2 linked regions of the Mus musculus genome follow. The protein of the gene in region 2 interacts with the protein of the main gene of each other region in a biochemical or structural test. Links are inferred from orthologs where the notes say so. Each region holds a gene or a part of one and is shown on either strand. Other genes may lie near its edges.

The links.
Region 1: the proteins of Cabin1 (region 2) and Mef2d form a complex in vitro, tested with the Homo sapiens proteins (2 studies listed by BioGRID). The link is inferred for Mus musculus from reciprocal best matches to the Homo sapiens genes CABIN1 and MEF2D.

Annotation. Positions count from the first base shown.
Region 1 is NC_000069.6:88,156,863-88,165,040, reverse strand, and holds part of Mef2d (myocyte-specific enhancer factor 2D), read right to left. Parts: intron 7,008-8,178; coding exon 6,870-7,007; intron 6,821-6,869; coding exon of another isoform or gene 6,686-6,820; intron 5,920-6,685; coding exon 5,709-5,919; intron 5,506-5,708; coding exon 5,449-5,505; intron 3,851-5,448; coding exon 3,660-3,850; intron 3,261-3,659; coding exon 3,240-3,260; intron 2,084-3,239; coding exon 1,954-2,083; intron 1-1,953. UniProt on the Homo sapiens protein: Transcriptional activator which binds specifically to the MEF2 element, 5'-YTA[AT](4)TAR-3', found in numerous muscle-specific, growth factor- and stress-induced genes.
Region 2 is NC_000076.6:75,759,561-75,768,198, forward strand, and holds the start of Cabin1 (calcineurin-binding protein cabin-1), read right to left. Parts: upstream 4,798-8,638; 5' UTR 4,465-4,797; exon of another isoform or gene 4,454-4,464; intron 1-4,453. UniProt on the Homo sapiens protein: May be required for replication-independent chromatin assembly. May serve as a negative regulator of T-cell receptor (TCR) signaling via inhibition of calcineurin. Inhibition of activated calcineurin is dependent on both PKC and calcium signals.

The sequences.
Region 1 (8,178 bases), on a different chromosome or scaffold from region 2:
CCATAGTAGATCGCCTAGCACCTACTGGAATTTGGCTCACATCAGATGTGGTACCCGAAAATGTCTGCTGCTGACAGAAGTCTGCTCAACTACTCCTGTAGCAACAGCAACTGGAGCTTTCGGGCCAAAGCTGCTTTCACACCCTAGAGACACAAGCAGGCCACGAAGAGAGCCGAGATGAACTAACTTCCCTCCTACTTCACAAGACTGAATGGCAAAAGCACAGGCAGCTGCCATGGTAGGATTCCTAAACGAACAATGCCCACTTCCCCATTAGACTCAGAAAGTTGGTTTTTCTCCTTGTCTTGGGAATGGTTGACAGGCTGAGGGAGCTTATCACCCTCTTACCCACCTATGTGCCCTGAACCAGGCCTTCAGGCTGCCACTTCTGAAGCAGCCAGCCCCTCCTCAGCCTCAAGATTCAATAACGTGGGAGTGGGTATGTTGTGAGGCAGCCAAGGAACTAGGGTCAGAGACATCTGCCCAGAGTCCTCTACAGCCTGGCCCCTGCTGAAGCGTGAAGTAGGCTGCTGCCTGCTCCTCAGCATCTCTCCTGCTGCTGGGAAAGGGCAAAGGTGGGGTCTGTGGGAACTGTGGTGGGATCTGTACCCTAACATGCTTCAGCTCCCAAAGGACTGGCAGAGGTGGAGGAGTTTACTGTCACCACAGAATGGCCTGAATACTGGTCACTCAAGCGTGAGGATCAGTGAATGAAGTGGGAAAGAAAGAGCTTACTGCCACACAAAAGCTCCAAGACCAGGTGACAACACATTTCCCCACTAGCAAGTCCTTCCTGGGCAGACACAGCAGCCTGAATGCAGCAAAGGATGGCTGCGGGCATCACACTGTTCTGGGGAAGGTGTGAGAGGCTGACAGAGCCATGCCAGCTTGCATTATGTCCCACAGTTCTTCCCAGAGGCCTCTGCCATGTCCTTAGGTAACTGCTCACCTTTAGACCTATCCAGCCTTCCCAGGCTTATCCTGCCTCCCACTCACTGCTGTACCGAGCCATCTCTGCTCAGGCAACTAGCCAATCCACTCTGCATCCTCTAGGAAGCTCTGCTGCATTGACCATGTCCCTTCCCCAGCCCCCAAACCATAACTCTATCAGCCTGGTGTGGCTGAGTCATGTGCTCAGCCACCTCTGGTCTGTCCGTCCCCTCACACTGGACAGCAGTTACTCTTCCACAAGAACCTATGCTAAAAATAAAAGATCACTGGTTAAAAGTGAATTTTACCTTAACAATGCATTTTTAAAAAGTATGTCTTTGGGATGCACTTTAGCACAAATAGTGCCTTTGGGATACATTTAAGACTGAAAAAGAAATTGTTTTGTCTTAAGTTCAAATCAAGAATTTTATTTCTGTTTATAAACTTTTAAAAAATGATTTAATTTTTTTATGTGTATATGTTTGTATGTATGCCATATGTGGTCAGGTGCCTGGAAGAGGCTAGAAGAGGGTTTTGGATCAATTACAAGTAGTTGTGAGTAACTGTGTGGGTGCTGGGAACTGAAAGTGAACTCTCTGGAAGAGCAGCAAGTTTCCCTAACTGCTGAGCACTCTCTTTAGCCCCTGTTTTGTTTTTTGAGACAAAGTCTCATGTAACTGAGCTGGACTTTAATTCCCTGTGTAGTTGAGGGTGACCATGAACTTCTGGTTCTCTGGTCTCCACCTCCTTGGTGCTCAGATTACAGACAAGTGCTACCACATCTGGCTTATAAATAGTGCTAGCAACTGAACGTAAGGCTTCATGCCTGCAAGGTAAACCCTTTCTTTACCAACCGAGCTCCACCCCCAGCCCAGGATTCTGTTTTTATGTTTGATCTACTAATTACCACACTAATTAGTGAAGGACTTTCCTCAGATTGGAAGGAGCATCCAGTGACCATCTCTGGTCACTTCCCTGCCCTATGCACAAGAGCACAAAGTACCAAGTTACATCAACACTCACCTGTGTTGTAGGCAGTGGGCATGGAGGAGAAGGGGAGGCCCTGGCTGAGTAAACTTGGTGTTGCCACGGAAACCACTGGGGTGGTGAGCGAGTGGGTAGACTGGGAGACCCCAAGGCGCTGGGCATTGTTCTGTAGGAGAAAACTGTCTGTCAAGAGATGGCAAATGGGAGGGCTGTCTCGAGGTGGTCAACCTATACTGCATCTGAACTAGGTCCCTGAATTCCAAGGGAAGGTACCATAGCATGGAGGCCCACAGACTCACTAACACAGTTGTTGTGTTTGAAGGCCTCAAGACTCACAGAGAAAAACATGCACACACAGATTCACTTGCATCTGCACCCAACAGACAGGAAGGCATGGGAGCAGCCTGGAGCTCAATGTGAACCCTGCCCTGGTACCTGGGTGGAATGATAGAAGGAAGAGATGTGGTCTCTCTTGGGCTAAGACCACTAGAGTCTCCTCTGTACCCATTACAGTAGCAGATGTCCCAGGAGATGTATACTGGCATCTGGGAATGGAACGTGGGATCTGGGGTGGCATGTGATTGCATGTATGCACACACGTGTGTAGGGCTGTCAGCTCCATCTGCTGCTGAGTCACTTGTTTATTCCAGCTCCATGCTGGGGCCGAGGCTGCCGGTGTGTTGGCCGCCAAAGCCTGCTTGCCTTTTCCAGCCTTTCTGGCCTCCTGTCAGCAAGCTGGGGAGGAAGCACCCTCCTCTTTCCTGGCTGATGATGAGTGTAAGCACAGGAGGGGCTGTGCACGTCTCTAAGTGCCTGTGAGATGGGCTCGGAGGAGGACGGGAGTGAACAGGCAGGCAGAGAAGTCCTTGCTAAGGACAACTCCATTAATGACAGCCTCTGGCCTTGGACTTTCCTAGATTTTCTTGTAAGGATTAGGCTTGTGTCTTGGATTCCAATGTTGTGTGGGCCTATGTGGAGTCAGGAGGCCAATGGAAACTAAGGGCTTAATTCAGGTATCTGCTGGGGCCTCAAAGGGCCGTGAATAGCCTCATGCTCTTTTCTACATGCACACACATACACATATATGAATAAGTGTGGTAACATATAAATATCCATGCACACACAGATGACACATGCATGCCATGTCCAGCCCTTCCCGCTACCCCATTTACCTTAGTATCCCACTCAGCTCTATGCACAGCTCCTGACAACCACATTAAACACACAGGGAGAAGACAGGTACATAAACTCATGCTACAGACTGAATAACACTGGGCAAAGCTGGAACTCAAAGACACTGTTAACATCTTAGCTGCACTTACCAGATCTAAATGGTCCTCAGTCTGGGAGCAGAAATAAAACCAAAAGGAAGGTTCAGGCTATGGCTCCTGCCCTTCCCATATGGCCACCCCAGTCCCCCTATTTGCCTAAGAGCAGAGTGCTCTTTGTGGCCCAAAAGGATATCTAGATAGTCTGTCTATCTGATAGCCATAAACTGCTGTATCCTGGCCTCCATCAGCCAGATATCGTCTGCCAGTCCTTATTCTCATGGTGCAGTGTGAATTCCTTTTACCATCTTCATCATACACCCTTTTCTCCTATCTCCTGTTCATTTTTACTGCCCTCTGGTCAGCACTGCTATGGTCCAAAGGCCCTCAAGAAGTCCTACCTGCTACTAACCTTCATTTTCTTGCTTTTATTCCCACCTCCCAGACCCTGCCAAAGCCCGGAAACACACTCACCAAATGATGCATTAACCCTTTGCCTCCCTGGGAAGTGATGACCCGCAGATCAGGCTTGCGGCTGGGGGCTCCAAGCTGGGTGTTGTGGGTGGGTGGGGGCGGAGACTTGGCAGGGATGACTTTGTTTAGGCTGTTGCCATTGGCCACAGGGAGGAGGCCAGGGGAAGCTCGGGCACTGACATAGCCATTCCCTGGAAAAGTGAGATGAGAAACGAAAAATGGTGGCCTGCCTCTGTACCTGCCAACTGCCCCAGACAAGCATATCTGTCACCTGGAGGCTCTCGGAGGCATGCCAGCATTCGACATGGATGCTGCCTGCCTGTCACTGCCTAAAGCCTTGGCTCCCAATCACTTGACATAAGTCAGCCTCCAAGCCACAGTGATAGAACCAGAGGTAGAACTGACACGCAACCATTGCCACTGCCAGCCCCAGGCACTTAAAGAGAGCCCTGCAGCCATGCTTTCCCCAAGCCTGGCACTCAGACCCCTCCATAGGCTTCACACAGGATGCATGACTCGAGTGGGAAGGGTGGCAGGCTGTGACCACCAGAGCCAGGCAACCATTTAGACTGTTTCCTTGCCAGGAACTGGAACTCTGTGTTTTCCATCAGCACAAGGCAAGCTGCTTGCCACCATGGGGAAACAGGCCACTGACTGTTGGTAAAGGTGTTGCTGGCACTGGGGGCTGGCGATATGGTCACTCCCATAACTAGACCTGGGAAAAAGGCATCACAACTTCTACATTGGCTCTGCACTCTGCCATGTCCAGGTCTTCTAAACACAGTATTTCACCCATGCTCACATCAACCCTGTGAAGTGCATGGGATGGACTTTTTGTCAGTTCTGGGAACATGACATTAGAGGAAGCATGACACTAGCTGAGAGAGCTGTGGTGACTTCTCCACAACCATCCAGGGCCATCTTACTGAGGTCCCAACGCTGAGCTCCAGGGCCTGTGAGCAAGGCCTGGAGAGAAGGTGTATGCCTTCAGTCTACAGTCTCATGGCCCTAGTGCACAACCACTTCTACAGTACCCTCACGCCCACCCACCTCACACAGGACCCATAATGACCAGACAGGAAACAGGTAGCACTTGGCTGAGACTGAGCTGGAAGAGCCTGAGGTTCAGGAATGTAAGTTGTCCCCACAGTGAGAAATTTCACCTTTCTCTGTCTGCTACAAGCACATGGTTACCCTCAAAGTGTGTTGCTGTTTCTATCCCAACTCCAAGATCACTCTGGGAATGGCAAGAATGACAGGGTGACGTCAATGGTGACATTAGAAGGAGGTCACTAGCCAACAGCACAGATCAAGAGTGGCTAGCTGTGTTGGGGCCCAGGGGCAATGGTGGTTACTTCCTATAGCTCTAGTGTGAATGCCTATAGGTACACATCTGTATGGTGACTCCATAGGAACACGGAGGCCTGTGTGCACGGTGGTGTTTGGGTGCCTACCATTTGTTGAGACAAGTCCTGATCCCAACAAGATGCCCCATTTTAATCTGAAAATGCTAGACCCTGGCCAAGTATGATGGTGCATGCCTTTGATCCCAGCACTCAGACAGTAGAGGCAGGTGGATTCTATGAGTTTGAGGGCATCTTAGTCTATATAGCAAGTTCCAGGCTAGCAAGGCTACATAGTAAGACCTGTCTCAAGAAAAAAGAAAAAAAAAAAAAAAAACAAACAAACAAGATGGGGTGGGAGGCTAACATCTTCTGATGCATCCTGCTCAGGCCCTGTTATTTCCCTCCCCTGGTCTGAGCCACCCTGTGGAGGCAGCTACACTCACCAACGGGGCTGGGGCAGGCTCCATTAGCACTGTTGAGGTCTCCACCCAGCATGGCTCCTGGGAGAAAAGCAGAGCTACCATGAGCTTTGTCTTGGGACAGGACAAGAAGAGGGGTCTCTGAGGAGTCCTAGGCCTTTTCCCCTCAAGAGTCATACACATACAGAAACGCTGCAAAGGGAAGACCCTCCACTGAAAACAGAAGCCCAGAGCCCCTCCACAGCTCACTCTGACCTCAGGGACTCACCCTCCAGCCCACTTACCTGCACTAGCAGGCCGCTGGGGCAAGCCTGGAGAAACACTGTTTCTCTGTAGTGCTGGCTGCTGGGGGGACAGGAGCCGTGGGTCCGTAAGGGATGATGTCACCAGGGAAGGAGTGACCAGAGAGCTACTTGGATTGCTGAACTGCATGGAGCTCTGATTGGACACGGGCACTGTGACAGGCATGGCAAAGTTGGGGGCCGGAACAGATGACTAGACAGGAAGATGGAGGGTAATGTCACACCAGGTCAGTGTCTCCCCCATACCCGTTTTGCCTGAGGGTAGACACAGAGTTCTTTGGTTCCTGAACTATATCTCCAAAGGCCAGAAGCTTGGGCTCCCTGCCTTCAGCCCTTTGGTAGTCCTGCCTACCTCCCATCAGAAAGGTAAGAGCACTTTGCAATACAGCTCTGACCCAAGGCAAGAGAGGCAGGCTCTGCCCACTGCAGGTGGGACTGGATACCCCCAGTGGAGGTGGGTTAGTCCTCAGCCAGGCAGGACACACTGGGAGCAAGTTAGTGCCCTGGGTACAGACCCGAACTCGCATAGTACTGAGGATATGGCTTCGCTAAGTGGCCACCACCTTCTGGCCTGCGTTAAGAGCAGCTCAAGCCCACCTTTCTACCATCCCTTTAGTAGTTCCGCTTCCTTTACATAAAGCTGAATGACTGAGGCAGGGGTGCCAAAGCACCCCAAGGGGGATCCCCCAAAACAGTGGGACAAAGAACTCGCTCCACTCCCTTTCCCTCCTGAGACTGCACTTTCTGCTGGGGAGAGGATACTGCAGGTCTCTCTAGTTTATGCAAGAAGAACTTTACAAGAGGGTTATCAAGACCAAGGTCAGGAGTTCCTCAGTGGTCAGTACCAGCTCAAGGATGGCTCAGCATAGTACATCCATCAGAGGCAGCCGAGGGCCGGGCAAGGCTGAGTGAAGCCACACCATGCAGCACAGGAGGCTCTCCTCCATGCGACTACTCACGGCCAGTCTATAACTCTGCATCATCTTATCAAACTCCTCGTCTATCTTTTTATACTTCTCTTCCGTCTGGGGGGTCAGGGCAAACGCCTCGTCCACCTCGGGGCTCTCACACTCCCTGTGCTTCTTGTGCAGCGCCTGGGGGAGGGGCCGGAAGGGGGCCAGAGAAAAGGTGAGGAGGGCTCACCCCATAGCGCCTGAAGAGCCCATCCAGCTCCTCACTGGCCCGCCGGTACTTGTCCTCCAGCAGGGGGCTCTGCTCCAGTGAGTCCTCCCCATCCGGCTCTGGGCTGTCACAGCCGTTGAAACCCTTCTTCCTCAGGGTCTGCAACCGCACACTCAGTCAGCCAGCCGGCGATGGCCCTCGGGCATCCTCCAAGCTCCTCCCCCAAATCCCCTACTCTTCTCCAACCTTCTCTCCCGTGGTTCCCAGATGTTCTAGTCCCCCTCCCCCCCCAATCCCCACCCAGAGCCATCCTCCCCTCCCTACAGCGTTCCCTGGGGCAGGCATGCTACACAGCTGTCTAGGGAGAAGCCAGGTCCTGCCGGCTCCCTAGAGAGTGTGCTTGGGGGTGGGGACTCTGCCCATGCAAACCCGAGGTTCTACTTAGATGAGAGAAACTGAATGGAGACAGGAAAGGACAATACAAGAAAGCACAGAGGACCCGCACTCATTGAGCTCTTTGCTCTCTACCATCTCAGACCCAAGCTACCCTCGGTCACTCAAAACTTTAGATACCTGCCTTCTTTTTTTAAAATCAAATCACATCTATTTATCTATTTATCTATTTATCTATTTATCTATTTATCTATCTATCTATCTACCTACCTACCTACCTACCTACCTACCTACCTGAGAGCATGCTTTGCCCTGGAGTGCATGCACACACATGCACATGCTGTAGCACATATGGGAGAGGACAACCTGCAGGAGTTGGTTCTTCTTTCCACCATGGGGTTCCTGAGAATTAAACTCAGGCTTGGCAGTAAGTGCCTTTACCTAAAGCCATTTTGCCAGCCTTTGCTTCATTTTAATTTTAATTAATTAATTAATTAATTTTTCCCCCCCAAGACAGGGTTTCTCTGTGTAGCCCTGGCTATTCTGGTACTTGCTCTATAGACCAGACTGACCTTGAACTCACAGAGTGCTGGGACTAAAGGTGTGTGCCTGGCTTGTTTTAATTTTTTAATATTTTATCTCATGTGTGTATGTTTTGCCTGTATATATGTGTACCACATAAATTCCTGATGCCCAGGGGGTCAGAGGAAGGAGGACCCCACCCCTGGAACTGTAGTAATGAGCTGCCATGTGGGTGCTGGGAATGGAACTCAGGTCCACTGGAAGAAAGCCAGTGTCATTAACCTCTGTACCCCAAACTGGCAACCTGGGGTAAGAGGCATGAACTGGGTTGACTTGTTTGCTCACAGAAGAACACTTAGGCCAGCACTGCTCCATCTGCAGAGTAGCCAGACCACCTGCCTAAAGTCACATGGCA
Region 2 (8,638 bases):
GTGGGTGAAGGGCAAGGACCAACATCCAAGGTTGTGTTCTAAGCTCCACATCTTTTCTATGGCACGTATACATACATACATACAGATATGCGCGCACACACACACACACACCTTTCCATAAACATTATTACAACCAAGAGAGTCCTGATCAAAGCCTAAGGGCTGGGACCTGCATTCAGATCCTCAGCATGTATCTGTAAGCCTAGAACTAGGAGCAGAGACAAGACGACCCTGGAGCTCTCAGGCCAGCCAGTGCAGCTACTAATAAGTCAACCTTCAGTGAGAGATCAGTCTTAAAAGGTGGAGCATGACTTCTAACATTCATCAATGACCTAAACACAAACATACACAGAAATATATACACAAACGTGTATACACATGCAAACCATACACACACACATATGCATATATAAACACATATGTGTGTGTACATGGTCTATTATTCACTACCATCAGCAACAAGAAGGAAGAGCCATGTATTTAAAATCCAACTCTAGCAGGTATAGTGGCCAGCAAGCAGGAGGACTCTTAAGTTCAAGTATAGCCTGAGCTATATAGAGACCCTGTCTAACAAAAACCTTCTAGGTAAGTCAGGTGTGGTGGCACACACCTTTAATCCCAGCACTTGGGAGGCAAAAGCAGGTGGATTTCTGAGTTCAAGGCCAGCCTGGTCTACGGAGTGAGTTCCAGGACAGCCAGAACTACAGAGAAACCCTGTCTTGAAAAACCAAAAAAAAAAAACCAAAACAACAACAACAAAACTTCTAGGTAAAAGTGAGTCAATCGAAAATAAAAGAAACATAACAAAATATAAAAATTAAATCATACAGTTATTTCCATAAACAGACAGCTTAGCATTTACAAGTGCGGGCTGTGTTGGCTGCCCTGGCCGAGGACCAAGGTTTAGCTCACATATCAGATGGCTCACAACCTCCTGTATGCCAGTTCTAAGGGATCCAAGCCCTCTTCTGGCCTCTACAGGTACTGTATGCTCATGGTGCACATACAGACAAGCAGATACATATTAAGGTGTTTTAAAATAAATTTACTTCTTTAAAGAAAAATGACCAAATTCAATAGCTATGAACACAACCAAAAAGAAAAAAATTGAAAAAAAAATGGGAAAAGAAGAATAACATCTTGTCATGAAAAAATAGAAATAAATACCTTGGTCCTAAAGCCAAAACAGTATTAATGGAAAAAACACTCCACACATACACAGCACACCATTAGTACATACACAGCACACCACTAGTACATATGCAGCACACCATTAGTACATACACAGGCCATTAATACACACACAGCACACCATTAGTACACACACAGCACACCATTAGTACACACACAGCACACCATTAGTACACACACAGCACACCATTAGTACACACACAGCACACCATTAGTACACACACAGCACACCATTAGTACACACACAGCACACCATTAGTATACACACAGCACACCATTAGCTGATGAGTACAGAGCTGGAACCTGGCTCAGCAACAAAGAGCATGGATTGCTCCAGAAGAGAACATAGTTTGGTTCCCAGCACCAACATCAAGTAGCTCCAGCCATCTTTACCTCCAGCTCCTGAGGAGCTGATGCACATCTCGGGCCTCCCTGAGCAACCACATCATGTGCACATACCCACACACATACGTAATTTTAAAATTAAAATAATTTAAAGATAATAATGATAATTTAATGTAAAAATTGATTCATACAAACCATAAATAGACAATATGATAGTGCAGAAAATCCTATTGGCAGGACCAACAAGATAAAGTCCTTAGTAAGAGATCTGCAATGTACACAGGGAAAATTGTAGAACACAACTCAGAGTGTGACTCCTGTGTAACGCATCTCTTCTCCTCAGGTAGGATACAAGGTGTCAGTTCTCCCGAAGTTACCACATAAACCTCATGCAGTGCCCCCCAAAACCGAGATAACAGACAAGATGACATCAAGGACCATCTAGAAAAATAAAAATGTAAGACTACCTAAGTACAAAGTGAAAAAAAAAAACCTGCTAAGAAGAGAATAAGCTTTATCCAATGTTATAAACACAAACTATAACACATGCTACATAAAGCCTTAAGGGATGAAATGAGAGGAAGCAGCACATGTTGCCACAGAGAGGTCAGGTCCAGAGTTACACTCCAGTGTGCATGTGCTGCGCTTGAGGGTCAACTTCAGCATGTTCCCCAAAAGATTCCTGGGCCTCGGTGGGTCAATGCTGGCAGACAGTGTGACCTTTAAGAAGTGATGCTTACAGCAAACGCCTTGACTGCTGCGAGATGGCTAGGATGATAAAGGAACAGGAATTGGATCCCCGGAAACCACATGGACAAAGCTGTCCTCTGAGCTCCAATGGTGCTGCGGCACTCAGGCCCCACCGTCATCTCATACACAAGATTAATCTATCAGTTAATCAAACACTTTTTTTTAAAGCTGGGATTGGAGGCCTGTCATCCCAGCATTCAGGAGAATGAGGAACCTGAAGGATGGTTCAAATTCAAGGACATCCTAGTTTCACAAAACTTACTTCATCATATACTTTATGCACATAGCCGGAAGATAATTTTACATAAAATGTTTAATAATTTGTACATGGAACAAAGTATCATGGTACAGAATTTCCACAGTCATCTCTGCACTCAAAAGTTTTGGATTTGGGGGAAATTAAGATTTTCAGACTAGGATGCTTAATCTATAATCACTTATCAATTCCCAGCCTAACTGTTGCAGTTTTCTAAGAATAACACATTTTAAATTCTCAAGTTTCGCCGGGCATGGTGGTGCACGCCTTTAATCCCAGCACTCAGGAGGCAGAGGCAGGCGGATTTCTGAGTTCGAGGCCAGCATGGTCTACAGAGTGAGTTCCAGGACAGCCAGAGTTACACAGAGAAACCCTGTCTCCAAAAAAAAAAAAAAATCTCAAGTTTCTAACCCCCACCCTACCCTTTTTTTTCTTCTTCTTCTTTTAAACACAGAATCTATGTAGTGCCAGTTGACTGGGCCTGGACTTGCTATATAGACCAGACTGAGAGAGATAAACACATGCCTTTGCCTCCTGCGTTCTGAGATTAAAAGCGTGCACTGACATAGCAGGTCTGTTTCCAAACTCTATGAAGTTTCCATTGCTTAAGATCATAGTAAAGAAAAGCTATTTATGGCCCTCAGCTCTGCCATCCAGTTAGTGAAAGGCAACCAAGGGGCCTACTAGGGTCTAGGAGCCTGGCAATTTTTCTTGTCAGGGATAAGGGAGTTTTCAAGGTAGGGTCTCCCTGTGTAGCTCTGACTATCCTGGAACTTGCTCTGTTCCACCTGTCTCGGCCTCCACAGTGCTTGGGATTAAAGGCACACACACCATTACACACAGTGTGATGGTTTGCATATGCTTGGCCCAGGGAGTGGCACTATTTGGATGTGTGGCCTTGTTAGAGGTGTGTCACTGTGGGAGTGGGATTTTATACCCTAGTCCTAGCTTCCTGGAAGTCAGTCTTCTGTTAGCAGCCTTCAGATGAAGATGTAGAGCTCTCAGCTCCTCCTGCACCATGCCTGCCTGGATGCTGCCATGTTCTCGACTTGATGATAATGGACTGAACCTCTGAACCTGTAAGCCAGCCGCAATTAAATGTTGTCCTTTATAAAACTTGCCTTGGTCATGGTGTCTGTTCACAGCAGTAAAACCCTAACTATGACACCTGACTTCTGGCAGTCTTGAGGTTATGGTAGAACTGTGTGTGAGAGACTGACTTAACATAAATGCCCCTCTCTATGCCTGTTTCCTCTATGATGTGACATGCTGGTCTAGACATGGCCTGTAGGTTCACCATCCACTGCTATTATACAGCCCGAAAGGAGGATTTTTTTTTCTTTTTTACATTTCTAATGAGGAAAACAACCAGCCAACCAACCAACCTCTTGATTCATGACAATTACATAAAAATTATTTCCATTCAGCTTTCAGTATCTATAAATAAAATTATAGTGACACACTGTCTCATATATTGTCTTTGACTTTATTAATGAAACAATTGAACAGCCACCCCAAATCTAAAACACTTACCATTAAAAGTATTGTTTTTTTTTAAATTAAATTTACAACATAAAATATAAATCTATCTACAAGAGTGTGCCAACCCCTGAAGGAGATCATTCTAAATTTTATTCCTAAGCAAATTAATCAATCACATAGAAGGAACTTTACCCAGATGAGGTTCAATAGGCCACACTGATGACCTATAAGAAGTCACGTCTTGAAGAGTTAAGCGGCAAAGTCCACAAGTGCAGAAACCTGACAGCGCCAGGTGAAGTCGTTCTACCTGCCTCCTCCATGGAGGGTGTTGAGCAGAATGGCTGCAGTCGGGGTAAGCCGCACCGGAACTTTAAAGTCGTTTAAAACCTTCCCTCGGCCTCAGTTTCCACCCCTGGAAATGGTACTCACATCACACTCACCTCGCTGGGCTGCGGTGAAGGTGAACGAAAGGACGCACCGAAAGGGATGGCTTCGAGCTGCGGTCACTGTGACCCACCCTAGGCGCCACCGGGCGAGGCTGCGGGAAGCGAGAAGAAGCCAGCGTGGGCAGAAGACCCGCGCCCGTGCCTTCGGGTCTCGAGCCTGGCTTCGGCCCACCGCGCCCGGGAGGAAGGGGAAGAGCGGGTCTTCTCGCGTGGTTCCACCTCCTCGCGCTCACGGGAGCCGTGCGCACACTTAGCAGACACACACAGCCCTTGCTCCCCGGAACTCGACCGGCGTCTCCAGGGCAACGGCCGGAGCTCCCAGACTCCTGCGCGCGACAAACCAACAAGGAACGCTCTCATTGGCTGAAGTGTCAGCCTTATCAGCCAATCGGAGTAGGCTGTTTGGGCGGACCCACGGGTTCGCTGTGCGCTGTGTCTTTGACTCGCGCGCGTGGGAACGCTGCTGCCTGCTGCTGCTGCGCTCCGCTACCTGCAGGACTTAACAGTTTTGTTTTATTTTGCTTTGGTTTTGTTGTTGCTATTGTGTTTTATTTTGGTCTGGTTTGTTTTAAGCAGTGTCTCACTAGTGCAGCCCAAACTAGCTTCGAACTCGTGGCTATCCTCCGGCTTCGGACTCCGGCTTGCTAAGGTTACTGGCCATCACATACTACCACTTGCACGCACGCTTTATGAACGCGAGTTTACAAACTAGAACCCCCCCCCCCCCCATTCACTAAAACAAGCGCATTGCTGCCAAAGACCCGGAGCAGGTGTTCTGACGATAATGATTGGAAACCCAAGCGACACGCAAGCAGAACTAGATAGGGAGCTGGAACTTGTTATGGTGCCCAGGCCTCGCCTCTTCTGCCTGGTCTGGAACTCCGTATTTACAGGCTCTCCGACTCACAAAGATAAGCCTGCCTCTGTCTCCCAAGAGCAGGGATTAGATACATGAACGACTTAGAAACGCAAATGATTTAAAAACCAAAGGGCGGGGGAGCAGACCCGCTTAAGAAACGTGTCAGAGAAGTTTACCGGTTTTTGAGCAGAAAAACCTGATAAGGAGAGGTTAGTATTTTGGGAGTTGATGCAACCCTTTAGGGAGGAGCTCCACACTGCTGGAATCCCTGGTGGCAAAGTATCCCACAAGAATGATTTAAATAACACTAAGGGGCTGCAGAGCCGTCTTGGCAGTTCAGAGCACTGGCTTCTCTTCCAGGGGACCTTGGTTTGAAGACCAGCATTGGCACAGCTCACAACCGGCTGTAATTTCAGTTCAAGAGTTCAAGACGATCTCCAACGCCCTCTTCTGGCTTCTTCTGGAACTGCACAATGTGGTACACAGCCATACATGCAAGCAAAACACTCATACACATAATTTTTTTTAAAAAAAGGTTTGTTTACTTTATGAATGTAAGTACACAATATCTGTATTCAGACACACCAGAAGAGGGCATCGGATCCCATTACAGATGGTTGCAAGCCACCATGTTGGGAATTGAACTCAGGAACTCTGAAAGAACACATTAAAATTTTTTTTTTTTTTTTTTTTTGGTTTTTTGAGACAGGGTTTCTCTGTATAGCCCTGGCTATCCTGGAACTCTGTAGACCAGGCTAGCCTCGAACTCAGAAATCCACCTGCCTCTGCCTCCCAAGTGCTGGGATTAAAGGCGTGTGCCAACACTGCCCAGCTCACATAAAATTTTTAACAATGAATGTTACGGCTTTTTTCCCCCATATTGTAAGAGTTTGAAAACTTATTTAAAGCTGGGCATGGTGGCACACGCCTTTAATCCTAGCACTTGGGAAGCAGAGGCAGAGTGACCAGGTGATCTCTGTGAGTTCCAAGACACCCAGGGTAACACAAGGTAACACAAACCCTGTGTAGAAAAACAAAAACCAAACAACAACAACAAAATGCGGGGGGCGGGGGAGCAAGGCTTGTTTAAAAAGAAAACATTAACAGTAAGAATCATGGTGCATAATTCAATCAGTCTGGTACAAAGAAAACAACCTTATTAATATTCCAAGAGGTTAAAAAATATATTACCAACTTTGACTTCAGAAAAGTATAGACTGGAGGTTGGAGAACACCAACTGGCTCTTCCAGAGGTCCTGAGTTCAATTCCCAGCAACCACATGGTGGCTCACAACCATCTGTAATGGGATCTGATGCCCTCTTCTGGTGTGTCTGAAGACAGCGACAGTGTACCCACATACATAAAAGAAAAAAAAAAAAGTATAGACTGCAAGAGGGTAGAGGAACAGAAAGAAAAATTATTAAAATTGTGTAAACAGTGAGTCTTGGTGGTGAGACTTCTGCCTGTGCACACTCGGGAAGCTGGGGCAGGAGGATCACTTCAAGTTCAAGGCTAGCCTGTTTTACACAACAGATTCAGGTCAGTCAGGGCCACCTAGAAAGAGCCATTCTCAAAACCACAAATATAGCACGAATAGTATAGTATGCTTATTGGATCCAGTTTCCATCACTCGGTTCTTGAAAAATAGACCCCATGCCGGGGTCTACAGGGTAAGGGTTCAAAGGTGAAAGAAATATTGATCATGCCAGAGCCTCAAACAGAACAGAATTGACAGAGAGATAGCTCGGAGCTACCTTGGGGTGGGGAGAACATTTGAGAAGTGAGAGACCTTTCTATGCAAGCCGACAGGTAATATCAGTGTATGTGGTAGGGGTGACAGATTCAATATGGTAAGACTGTTTGTCTTCCATTCCCGCTGAGTTCCCGCTGAGAGGTCCATGTCAGTGCCATCCTCAGGTGTCCTCAGAATTCCAACACCCGCTGGTAGAGAGAAGAGGTTGGCTTATCAGTCTCAGAAACTAAATGAGCTCCAGTCAGCCTCTCAAACTTAGAAGATGCACAGCTTTCTTTCCGCCCTGCTTAGCTGCTTTGTTAGCTTGAAGCAAGCTAGAGTCACCAGGGAAGAGGAACCTCAGCTGAGACAGTGCGCCCATCAGATTCCTCTCTAGGCAAAGTCTATAAAAAGTCTAGAGGGTGTGTTCTTGATTAATAATTGGTGTGGGAAGACCCAGCCCGTTGTGGGAGGTGCCACCACTAGTCAGATGATCCTGGGTTGTGTATGAAAGCAGACAGAAGACTCTTAGGTCAAAATGGCGGGTCAATCTGCTGTTGCAGCATCAAGCAAGTGGCTGGATGGTTTTCGAAAGTGGTATTATAACGCTGCAGGATTCAATAAACTGGGGATAATGCGAGATGCTACACTACATGAAACTGAAGATGTAAAAGAAGCCATAAGAAGGCTTCCTGAGGACCTTTATGACAGGCTGTTTCGAATTAAGAGAGCCTGACTATGAGGCATAGGATCTTGCCTAAGGATCAGTGGACAACATATGAGGAGGACAAATTCTACCTTGAACCCTATCTAAAAGAGGTTATTCGGGAAAGAAAGGAGAGAGAGGAGTGGGGGAAGAAGTGATCTTTTAGATAAGATCTGTGGGTGTGCCTGGTCTCACCATACTTCTACAAAGTTATTTCAATCTGAATCACAATTTAAGAAATATTTGCTCTACCTATGTCTCACTTTAAATAAATGTCTATTGTAAACATGAAAAAGAAACAGAGAAAGAGAGAGAGAAAACGAAAGAAAGAGCAGACAAAAGTTATGTAAAGAAAGCCAGTGTGTTCTGCTAAGACTAGATGTCCCAGGGTAGTGTGGTACCCAGGAAGAGGGGAGAGAAGAAGAGGAGGAGCAAGGGGAGGATAGATTTGGGGTGGAACTGGAAGGAAAAAAAGAAGGGGATGTAGGGAGCCATTCCAGACTTCCTGGTCAGCAAGATGGAAGTCTGCTCCAGGTAGTAAACAAGCCCATGTTTGGTGGATGGCCTGCCCTTAATCCCTGATTGGCTGAGCAAGCTTCCTGGTGAGGTGATGTGACCTGTGGTGATTGGTGGGGGCGTGGTTGTGGCTGGAGTGGAGAGAAAAACACTTGTAACAAGAGAGGCTAGGGGATTTAAAGTAAGTAGCTGCCTGAGTAAACTGCTTAAAGAAGAACCGGTGGTTGGTCTTTCTTGCTGGTCGAGTGGGACACGACAAGGGGACTGTGAAGTGAATTAAACAAACAAACAAAAAAAAAAAAAACGACAAGGGGACTGTGAAGTGAATTAAACAAACAAACAAACAAAAAAACT